3 linked regions of the Struthio camelus genome follow. The protein of the gene in region 2 purifies or fractionates together with the protein of the main gene of each other region. This does not show direct contact. Links are inferred from orthologs where the notes say so. Each region holds a gene or a part of one and is shown on either strand. Other genes may lie near its edges.

What was found.
Region 1: the proteins of TMEM9B (region 2) and H(+)/Cl(-) exchange transporter 5 purify together in Homo sapiens (co-immunoprecipitation; 3 studies listed by BioGRID and IntAct, counting the BioPlex papers as one, with this or other methods). This does not show direct contact. The link is inferred for Struthio camelus from reciprocal best matches to the Homo sapiens genes TMEM9B and CLCN5.
Region 3: the proteins of TMEM9B (region 2) and FLVCR1 purify together in Homo sapiens (co-immunoprecipitation; 3 studies listed by BioGRID and IntAct, counting the BioPlex papers as one, with this or other methods). This does not show direct contact. The link is inferred for Struthio camelus from reciprocal best matches to the Homo sapiens genes TMEM9B and FLVCR1.

Annotation. Positions count from the first base shown.
Region 1 is NC_090952.1:1,564,293-1,568,037, forward strand, and holds the start of H(+)/Cl(-) exchange transporter 5, read right to left. Parts: upstream 2,328-3,745; 5' UTR 1-2,327. UniProt on the Homo sapiens protein: Proton-coupled chloride transporter. Functions as antiport system and exchanges chloride ions against protons. Important for normal acidification of the endosome lumen. May play an important role in renal tubular function.
Region 2 is NC_090946.1:23,283,159-23,286,903, forward strand, and holds the start of TMEM9B (transmembrane protein 9B), read right to left. Parts: upstream 2,419-3,745; 5' UTR 2,297-2,418; coding exon 2,213-2,296; intron 1-2,212. UniProt on the Homo sapiens protein: Enhances production of pro-inflammatory cytokines induced by TNF, IL1B, and TLR ligands. Has a role in TNF activation of both the NF-kappaB and MAPK pathways.
Region 3 is NC_090944.1:114,319,968-114,323,712, forward strand, and holds the start of FLVCR1 (heme transporter FLVCR1), read left to right. Parts: upstream 1-1,168; 5' UTR 1,169-1,270; coding exon 1,271-1,927; intron 1,928-3,745.

The sequences.
Region 1 (3,745 bases), on a different chromosome or scaffold from region 2:
CCTGTCCTTTACCATTGCTCCTGCCTCCTAACTGAAAAGAACCTGGAGAAGAAAATGAGATTTTAATAAGCAGATGTAGTTGGGGTTTAGGACTAATGTCATCACCTCCAGGGTTTGAAGCAGTCACTCATGCCTGAGATTGATATGTCAGATGCTTTACTGTCTACCTGGGTGAAACGCTCCCCAGCTTCCATGAGCAGTCATATAACCTCTCCTAAGCGCAGCACCCCCTTGCCACCCCTCTCCATCCATGCCCTATCAGATAGCCATCTCAGGGCTCCAACAGCTAAACCTCAGCTTGCTTTCAGCCCCAGCTGCCTCAGGGCTCCTCTGTGCTCACCAGAGCTCCACTTACACTTGTCTCCAGGGGGCAGGGTGCCTTTCAGGCTCCTTTCCTTCCCCTCCCAGCCCACTCTGGGACAGTCTGTGCTCCCTGTAACCCTCCTCTGTGCTATGCCAGTCTGGAGTAACTGCTGGAGCTAGGAATACTCCAGAACTTCCAGGATGTCCTGGTGCCATGGCAGTGGAAGATCCCTGCCTTTTCTGACATATTCTAGGGGTGTGCTTACCTTTTTTGATGCCTTCCTCTTACTTGCAATGTTGCCCCAGGTCAGACAAGCTCTCAGCTGTGGGCTGTACCAGCTGAGCTCCCAGCTGAGCAGTGCCTCCCATAGCAGGTCCTCAGGCCGAGGCTGAGGTCATTGAGTCTCTCTGCTACTCCTCAGTGAGATGCCTAGCAGGCCAGACCTCTGGAGGCTGACAGCACGGCTCTTTTGGGGACCAGGCTTGTGCAAGATCTGGATGTCGAAGGGGAAGGATAGCAATTCTGGGCTGTTTCAGGTCCTTGGCCAAGGATCGGGGCTGCTGGCTTGGTAGTCTCATGGGTGAGTGGACCAAACCACTCTTGCTGCCACAGCCGTTGAGCTGTTACGTGACCCAGGGCAGGAAGGAGAGTGATGGTGCCTCAGTTTCCCTTCTCCCCACCTGTCTCTGTGGGCTGAGCACTTGGCGTAGGGGCAGTTTCTTACCTATTGGCAGCTGCAACACCAAAAGCTGCAGCAGCAGTTTCTACAGGGATTTTCCCCTAAGCCTCTCCTATTCCCATTCAGCATACTAACATCTTTAATACCCCTAAGCTTTTTGGAGCAGCAGTTGGGGGTGGTTACACATCATGCACCCAGTACCTAGCACAAGCCATTCCTGGACAGGGTCTCTGGACTCTTGTGTGATACAAACTTGAAACAGTCTTCCCTGATGCAGCGCAGCGGTTCCTTGCTACCAGAGCCCACGTCCCAGCCCATTACCAAGAGCGCCGGTCTGGCCGGGGCCGGCACCAGTATGGATTCTGGCAGCACTAGGGGGCAGCATTGGTGCAGATATGAGCTGTCCAGCTAGGTGAAGTCTACGAATGGCAGCAAGCACCTTGCTTGAACTCCCTGTTATCCCCAGTGAGAAGCTTTTAATTCTGGCTGGCTGGCCACTCTAGAAGTCACCTCCTGTTGCATAACTCCTTGGAGGATGGTCAGAAAACTACATGTCAGTGTCCTCAGATGCTGCTTTTCTTCCTCAGATGGTTTTTTTCCTCCTTCCATGGAAACTGGCTCAAAACTCAGCAGATTTTTCTCCGGTCCTGGAAACATGGCTTGTCTCTGCTGGGAGACTTCACAGAACAACCCAAAGCTGTGACCAGGACACAGCAGGATGTTGGTGCTGGAACTGGAGCAAAAACCTTTCTCATTCCCAGCAAGGGGCTGAACCCTTGAGCAGACAGCTCTGTAGGCCCCATGAGTGTGAGAATCAGCAGTCAGGATCACTTGTCCCTCAAGCAGAGATTTGCATTGCTGCAGAGTCTCTCTAATTTCTGCAGGGTGAGCCCAGCTCTGTCACAGGACAGAGAGCAGTTCTCTTGCTGTGTAGATGTGTTTGCTTCCCCAAAGGACATCTGCTCAATCATTTCTGCTCTGATAGCCTATGGGAACACCCTAGAGCTCTGAATCAAAAAAGCTCCCACCAAGTGCCCAATGCCTTGCTATCCCCAGGCTTCCCAAGTCACATCAGGAGGGGTAACAGCACAGCACTCTCTGTGCACAGAGTGAATGTCATGGTGGGGCTGGCAATGTTTCAGTTTCAGGTTTTTAGCATAGCAACTACCTTAGAAGGTGACATCAACATCATGCTGTGTAAGTAAAAGTCCTTTAGAAGAGGAAGGCCCTGCCATATTTCCTGAAGGGTTGAACTTTGGGATTTATCTGATCTCTGTGATAACACAAGTTGGCCAGGTTCCCTTGTAAGGGGAAGAAGGCTGAGTGATTAGTACCAAGAAACAAACACTGGCTTGTCTGGCCTCAGCCCTAGGCCATTCTCCCAGATGCAGCCAGCCCCATCATGTCCTTGCATGACCCTGCTGTACACATATAGTATGGCAAACTGGATCATTTCGTCTTTAGGTATGCGCAGAGCTGATGTATGCTCTTGGCTGCCTACTCCCCACTGCCTGCTTACCTGGGAGCAGGGGCTGCTGGATCTGGCCTTCTGCCTTCTTCCATCCATGCTCAGTGCATCAGGGCTGGTGAAGAGGGGCAGGCAGGCAGCAGGTTCCTCCCTAGGGATTGGCTAGATTGGAGAGGGCAGTGGTACCTGTGCTCTGCCCAGAGCCCTAGTGCAAGCAGCAGTGAGCAGGTGTCTCCTGCCCTGGTTGCTGTTTTGGTCCTCTCCTCACAGTTTGAGTTACTGTCCCCAGGCCTGCAGACATCCTGGGTGCCTTGCAGAGGAAATCCTTGCCACAGCACTCTTGAGATCAGCCCCTTGTGCAGCTCCTGTGGGAGTGATGGCCCTGACATGTAGCACTCCTGTGCTCCTCCTGTCACCAAGTGCCCAAAAAAATGACTTCATGAAAAATATGAACCCTGAGCCAGACAAGGCCTTTGTACTCTGAGTAACAGCATGGATCTTCTCCGGAGGTTGAGGACCTCCTCTCATTACTGCAGTCTCAGCCCCTTCCCTTCAACACACCACTGGGTGTTCAGCCAACCCCTTCTCAAAACACCCAATGGGGAGATACCCTGCATTCCTGGACATCTCTCCTAGTGCTTTGCCAGCTTCCCCCTTCAGGCAGCTACCACCCACGGCTCAGGAGAACATCTCCAGCTGTCTGCCAGGAGGCTCCTTGACATCCAGCCTAGGTATCAGGGATGCTGAGGCAGGGTGAAAATCTCCCATCAGGATGGTTTCCAGGTGGGAAAAGATTTAATTAAATGAAAATTTTAATTAAAAAATTAAAAATTTAATTAAATGTCCATTAAATGAACATCTTTTTTTTTCTTTTTCCTCCTAGAAACCAGTGGTCTCCCCAAATACAGAATTTATTTTCTCCTTTGTGTAGCATGCAAAATGCCTGGAACAACCAGAGACAAACGGGATGGGGATAAGAAACTTTGAAACCTAAGCAGAAAATAGACTTCCTGTGAAGCAACAGTCTCTGAAAGGAAGGAGCAGGTATCTGGGGCTGGGAAGGAGAGGAAAGGAGAGGGATCTGCTCTGCCATGCCATTGTCCTGCTCATCTCAGCAGAAACAAGGACTTCTGCAGCGACAGTGCGATGAGGGAATGGCAATGATGGAAACCCAGACCTCCAGCCCGGAAATACACGTGGGAGCACACAAACACACATGCACGAGCCAGGGCAGGGGAAGGCAGACTCCTTTACCCCATTTTCCTGTCCATTGTTTTCTGTGCTACTTACCCAA
Region 2 (3,745 bases):
AAGAGCAAGCTTTAGGGAAACAATTCGAAGACTTGCATAAGCAACGAGAGGCACTGCAAAAAGAAGTGAGGAAAATTAACATCCCACAGTTATGGGAAGTGAGAAAGAGTTAACACCCAAAGATCACAGTTAGACCACTACTGGGAAGAAAGCAATTCCAGAAAGAAACTACTTTGTGTATATTCTAGTGAGATAATTCCTTCCTTTCCCAAAACGCACAAGAGCGGAAAACCCTGTGAAGAGAACAGAGATAGCGAGCAAAGAGTTATAGATGACAGCAGTCTCAAACTGAAATCAGAGTAATTTATTTGAGAAAATAATAAGACACAAAAGGTAAGCCTGACTTATCTGAAATTCAGGGCAACTTTTGCCAGGATCATAAGAGACTGTCTTAAGAAGTATTGATAAATAAACATCTATACTGAACAGTTAGATCAGAGTAACGCTAAACGAGCGTAGGTCGGCTGGAAAACCTTGATTTCAGTATATACCAAGGCACTTCTGGTCTTGCCATAGGAAAGTCAAACAGTTAATTAGCATTAAAAACATGGAGAAGCTACATATAAAGGTGCTTCCGCAATTTGGAAGTTTCCCTATTAGGAGATACTATGTTCTCACAGTTAGTCACAGAGACAATAAGATTATAGCCGCAAAATGCAAAATATTAACCTACAAGGACCAACAACTGAGAATTTAAATACACTCTAGTCAGGTAAGGCAGCAAAGCTGGAAGAGCCACCATGGAACAGAAGAGAAGATGAAAGCACTCAGACATGTAACGCTGAGTGGAAGCAGAGCACCAAGCTGAAAGTAAAATAAGACATCTGGCAGATCCCCTTTTCCTTTTATATAGTCAGACACAAGAACATGAGCTTTCTCTCAGACAAGACCTTCTCAATGAATACACAACGATGACTTGTGGTTGCACGTGACAGCATCTCAGAGCACTACGTCAAAACTAAAGTAAAACGCTGAAAACTTAAGCTCTGTACAGACACAAGCACTAATAAAAACAGATAAAACTCAACTAGTTCTAATTCTTGCTATGTTCTGCTCTACAACGTGTCACATACCTAGCTTTCAACACCTAGCTACTGCAATCTCTACTTTTCATAAACCTCCTATGAAGATATCAGTAAAAAGCAACCTGACGTCCCGCTAAAATCAGCAATTATGACTTCGATATAAACTGAAGTTACCCCCTAAATCTGATCTTGCGTGGGCACATGCCTGACGCTTTAACAGATTCGGGCAAAACCCTCTGCTCCATGGCACCCGGGGAAGGCAGGTCAGTAAGTAACGGCCAGACCAGATGCCCAAGCTCCTGAACCTTCACAAAAGCAGGAGGTAATTAACGGAAACCTAGTCCTCCCTTTGCAAAGGACTACTCTCTGACATTCAGAAGGGACTCCTGTCATCTCTGTTCTTCTGTTTTAACAAAAGCAATGACTGAAATACGTGATAATGAATTAACATGCTTGTGGGATAGCGAAAAAATTAGAACAGCAGTCCAAGCGTTCACAGCTAAGGTAAGCGTTCACCGACAGGCTGGGAAAGTTAACACGTTCAAAGACCTGGAGGAACCAGGACCAACGACCTGAGCAAGAAACCAGCCGAGGTACCAGCAAGGACGTCAGAAAGGGGGAGCAGAGCCGAGGCGCCACAAACCAGCCCCGGGAGAGGCCGCGTCTCACCTCGGGGCCTTACAGCCCCGCGCCAACCCACCGCCGACCACCGACCGTTGGGGGGGGGGGGGGAAGGTGGCACCCGCGGGACCGGCTGGGGCGGGCCAAGGCGGCCGTTGGGGCGCGGGGGGAGCGAGGACGACGGTCGGGGCGCGCGGGGGGGGGGGCGAAGGCGACGGTTGGGGCGCGCGGGGGGAGGCGAGGGCGACGGTTGGGGCGCGCGCGGGGGGGGGGAGGCGAGGGCGACGGTCGGGGCGCGCGGGGGGGGGGGCGAAGGCGACGGTTGGGGCGCGCGGGGGGAGGCGAGGGCGACGGTTGGGGCGCGCGCGGGGGGGGGGAGGCGAGGGCGACGGTCGGGGCGCGCGCGGGGGGGGGAAGGCGAGGGCGACAGTTGGGGCGCGCGCGGGGGGGGGAGGCGAGGGCGACGGTTGGGGCGCGCGCGGGGGGGGAGCGAGGGCGACGGTTGGGGCGAGGAGCCGCAAGGCGCACCGGGACCCGTCCCCCGCGCCCCGCTCGGCTCGGCTCACCTTGGCCTCCGCGGCCAGCCCCGCCAGAGCGGCCAGCGCCAGCAGCGAGCAGAGCCGCGGCCAGCCCCCGCCGCCGGCCGCCATGTCGGGCCCCGGGCTCGGCCCGGCCCGGAACCTCCTGCTTATCGCCGCCGCCGCCGCCGCGCCGCCAGCCCCCCGGCGCCCGCCGCCATCACTTCCGCCTTCCGGCGGCCTCACGTGAGGCGGTGTCCGGCCGGGAAGGCGGCCGGCGGGGTGCGGCGGCGCCGGCGGCGGGTTCCGGGGCGGCGGGGGCCGCCCCTGCCCGGCCGCCTCTCCGTCGCCTCTTGGCCCTTGGATTTCAAACAGCAGCCTCATTCACGAAGCGCTTGAAAGAGCAGAGACTCGGCGTTTCCTCACCTGCTGCTCACAGAAATGACAAGCAGCCACGTTTGAAATGCGAAGGGGAAGAAAAAAACCGGGTGCGCTGAGGTCTGGCAGAGGCGGTTGGGCCCCGGGCCGGCCGGCCGGGGAGCGCGGCGGTGCTGTGCGCCCCGGCTGCGGAAACAAAAACGTGCGATACCTTCCTTCGGGCTGACCGCCTTTCTTCTGCAGAAGGAGTGTCCCCGTTGTCCCCCACGGAGCGGATGGCGAGGGGACGCGGAGCAGGACACGACCCAGGCGTCACCTGCAACATACCACACGTTAGTTACCCTACTTCTTCACCCTCCCCAAACATGCAGTAGTTACTGTATGCAGACCTGCCGATGTGCAGCACCAAGAGTAATGTTTTCCCTGTGCAAACAGGCTCTGAGAAATTACAGAAAAAAATTGCGCATTTGGTTACACTGAAGCTAAGCCTAAAAATACAATTAATGCTAATTATCCCTATAAAGTGCATTTTGGGTCAGTTAAACAACACAAAAGTTTTGAAACGTATTAGAAGTGATGCAAAGTAGCATTCCAGATGAGAGGTGGAGGTTGCTGGTAACGAGTTTTTCAGTAACTGAACATAGAAGGGCAGTATATATTTTCAATGTATTTTATAGATAGACATATACATAGATAGACAGCTTTTCTCTAAGATAATGTCCCTAAAATACAGTGCTGTCCCCTATTTTTCACGTGGTGGTTAGTGGTGTCCATGCAAGAAGAGAGTTCACCTTCCTTCAGAGAGGCAATAAACGTTCATGAGAAGCAGCATTTTCAGCTGCAGTCCTTTGGGACCTGGCAGATCGAGCAAGTTTGAGTTTTCCTGTCCTTGGCTGGGAAGACCCAGAGAGCGCCTGCTGCTGCTAGGAGGGGGTTCAGCTGGTCTCCTGCTCGGGAGTCAGCGCTGAAGGGCTTTTTGAGCCCGGCCACGGAAACTGCCTGTGTTCATTTCAGGTTCTCCGCTGCCTTTCAGGAGGAATCGCAGACGTCCTGTTTTAGCCACATCCTCTGCCCGTCTTTCCTCCCCAGTTCCTATATCTTGTACCTTTTTTATATCCATTTTCTGTCCCAAACTGCTTAGCAGGAACACTGTACATTGCCAAAGAGTTGCTCTGTTTTCTTTCTCCTCCTCCACCTTCCGGT
Region 3 (3,745 bases), on a different chromosome or scaffold from region 2:
TGTTCGGCTAAGTACTTGGGGGAAGCAAACATAGCCAAATTAATATTCTGAGGCGTGTGTTTATGTAATTATTCATGTTGAAAATCACATCAGGAACTGTGGCTTAGATCACCTGATCTTGTGAAAAATACCAGCTCATAATTTATGAGGAAACTTAAGACTCTGGTAGCTAGGCATATCTACTAGACAGACACAAACCTGATTACACGCTAACAGATCCACAAACAATTCGCGGCATGTTATTTGCTGAACGTACACCAACAGATTTCCTGCAGAGGCCAGTAATTTACTTCTAACGTTGTTAACAAACTTAAACGTTGCTGTATTTTCTAAAGCTCTTTGGAGAACAATCTACCTGTTTATTATGGCGTTGCGTTGACGACAGGAGAATCATGATCCCGTGATGGGGCCTGCTAGACACTACGCCTATACAAACAGGTATCAAGCGGGGTTTAAGAAAAGACTTCCCACCGAAGTAACACGTAACCGTGTAAGAACACTACGCACCTGAGCCACCCCAAATTTCGGAGGCTGAGCGGGAAGGAGGAACGTTTTGCCGAGGCTCCGGACCCGCGGCGGCGGGGGCCGCGCGCGCAGCGCCTAGCAACGCAGAGCCCCGGCGCGAGCGGGGACGCAGGGGGGAGATGTGCTGTGGATGGGGGGTCACCAAACGCCGGCCCGGAGGCGCTCAGCCAAGCAAGGGGCTCATGGGGATGAGATTACGGGAATGAGATTGTGCGGCTGCTCCCCCTGAGATGCTGTGGGGATTATCGGCATCGTTTTCGTCTCCGTGCGCTTCTCGGCCAGCTGCACTGACGGTCCCCACAGGTCCAGTTTAAACCAGAACTAAACGATTGTTTTTGTTTCTTAAATTTTAGCTATGGGGTTTCGAGCGACACATTTCAAAACGCCTCGCTTTGCGTCCTGCGGGCCGGTTTTAAGGACCCGTGGCAGAGGAGAAGACCCCTGCGAGAGGACGTGGCTTGCTGCCCGCGGCCTGGCGAGCGGCTGCAGCGGGTGCCACACGTGTGCTCAGCCCGGGGAGAGGAAGGGCGGGTGTTGGGGGGGCGGGGGGGTAGGTGGGAGGTTTCTTCCCGCGCGGCGGGGCAGCGAGCCGCCCCCCGCTCCGCCCCCGCGCCGGGCCGGGCCGGGCCGGGCCGGGCCGGGCGGCGGCGGCGCCAGGTGACCTTGGCGGGAGGGGAGCGGAGGCAGAGCCGTGCTGCGGAAGGCGCCCGCCGCCGCCGCCAAGCTGGGCGGGGAGACAGCCGACATGGTGGCAGCCGGCGACGAAGCAGCAGAGGAGGAGGAGGGCGAGCGAGCGGAGATGCTGAGCGCCGCGGAGCCCGCCGCCCTGCAGCGCAACGGGCTGCTCCCCGGCAAGGAGGCGGCCAACGGCGGCGGGCGGGCGGCCGCAGGATGCGCGGCGCAGAGGGGCGGGCGGGCGGCGGAGGCCGAGGCCATGCTGGCGGCGGGCGGCGGGCGGGCGGAGACGCGGCTGTCGCGGCGGCGGCTGGCGGTGCTGGCCGTGTTCAGCGGCTACTCACTGGTGAACGCCTTCCAGTGGATCCAGTACAGCATCCTCAGCAACGTCTTCGTGCACTTCTACCGCGTCTCCTTCGCGCACATAGACTGGCTCTCCATGGTCTACATGGTGGCCTACGTGCCGCTCATCCTGCCCGCCACCTGGCTGCTGGACGCGCGGGGGCTGCGCCTCACGGCGCTGCTGGGCGCCGCGCTCAACGCCCTGGGCGCCTGGCTCAAGTGCGCCAGCCTAGCGCCGGGCCGCTACGCCGTCACCATGGCGGCGCAGGGCGTGTGCGCCGTGGCGCAGGTCTTCATCCTGGGGCTGCCGTCGCGCGTGGCCGCCGTCTGGTTCGGCCCGGCCGAGGTGTCCACGGCCTGCGCCGTGGCCGTGCTCGGCAACCAGGTACGGCGGGGCCGGGGGCGGGCGGCGGGGCGGCGCCTGGGGAGGGCGCTGGCCCTTGAAAGGCCCGCCGCGGGGGCCCAGGCGGTTCTCGGAGAAGTGGCGCTTGGGGCCGCGTCGCGGAGACGGGGAGGGCGGTGGGTGAGGGGGCCAGAGGCAGCGGTGATGGGCGGCCGACGTTGCATTCCCCAGGCCGGCTTTGCCCTGCAGCGCTCTCTCTATCGGTAACGTATTATCATCCACCTTCCCGCCTCCCCCCCCCCCCCCCACCATTTTTTTAAAATAAAATGTGGCCTCACATGGCTGAGCACCGATAGACCGAGCCGGCCCTGCTGACTCGTGACATTTTCTATAACAGCGTGATAATTCACGTGGGGAGCTGATAGCGGAGCCCTGCCACAGCTGTCCTCAAAGTCCTCGGGCCTAGTTCCACAGAGCTGGCACCGATGTATGGGCAAGGGCTGCCTGCAGAGAAGATGCTGTCCGTTCCCCCCCCCCCCGCCCCCCCGTAGCCTTGTTCTTGCTCCCTGCCACTGGCCCCACTTCTCTGTGGCAACGAAATAGTAAAATTCCCATCAGCTTCGCTGGTGCGGGCTGAGGCCTCAGGTACGGTCTGGTTAAGGTAATAGAGGTTTTGTTTATTCTCTTGTGATTCTATCGATTGCTGTTTGTCTGTGGATTGTTAAAGTTGAGGTGGTGCCTATTGGCAGTTAGGGTTGCTTGTTATTTTTACATCCCTCTTTACAATTTTCCAGCATTTTTTCCAAAACAGTTCTTTTTGGGCTGAAGTCTTCAGTGGACAAACCGGCTGCCCGTTTTAGACTGAAGTTTTTTCTTTTTTCCTTCTTTAGCAGTTCAGCAGAAATCTAGCATCTGCTTCCTGGAGTCAGGCTAAAGATTTCTTTGACAGCTAAGATGTCCACACGAGCTTCACCGAGACAGGCAGCAGTCCTCCCAGTAGCAAGGAAGGAACTGCTGTGGTCTCAGTTCTGCTGCGCGGTGCCCACAGCTCTCCCAGCTGGGGAGGAAGCTGGGAGCTTGAGAGCAGTGCTCTGTCCTGATGCTGAGGTCTGGGGGATGAAGTGGTGAAGGAAGAGGGGAGAAGCCCAGGAGTGGAGAAGATGGAAAGCAGGAGAAAGATGGACAAAAAAGCCAGTAGCAGAGGTGTGCTTGGTTGCTTGCTGGAGCACATTCCCCTGCAGAGAGTAGGAATGACCTTAGAGCCCCAAAGTACTTGGTGGTCCTCTGCCGCCTAGAAATACCTGTGAAATACACTGACAAAGTGGGTTTCATTCTCCTCTGGTGGTTTTTCTGCACAGAGGACAATGGCTTATTTTGGTCAGCTGGCCAGTACTCTGTTAACTCAAGTTGTGGAGCTTGTGCTGTAGGTCCGAAGATCCTCCTCTTGCTTATGACCCATGGAGATTGATACAGTGCCAAACAATAGAATTTCTCTGTTTTTAATTTTTGCTTTCTTGAAAAAAAACCCTCTCGAAACCTAGACTGAAAGAATAAGATGACAGATTAGGTGCTTGAAAGTTAAAAACCTGCTACAATTAATATGGTCTATATAAGCTAATGCAGCTGCCTTCTGCGTATGCATTGTGATACAGACCTCAATTACGTGCCTCATTGTGCTCCTCTAAATGCATAAGGTTAGCTGTATAGCAGAATCAGATTGTTACAATGAATGAGACTTGGTCCTCGTATTACGCACCTGATGTTTTGCAGAACTTCGAAGCTATAGCAAACGCCGGTCTGGGTTGCAGACAGGAGGGACAGAATAGTTATCAAAAATCAAATCACGCCCGTTACCCCTTG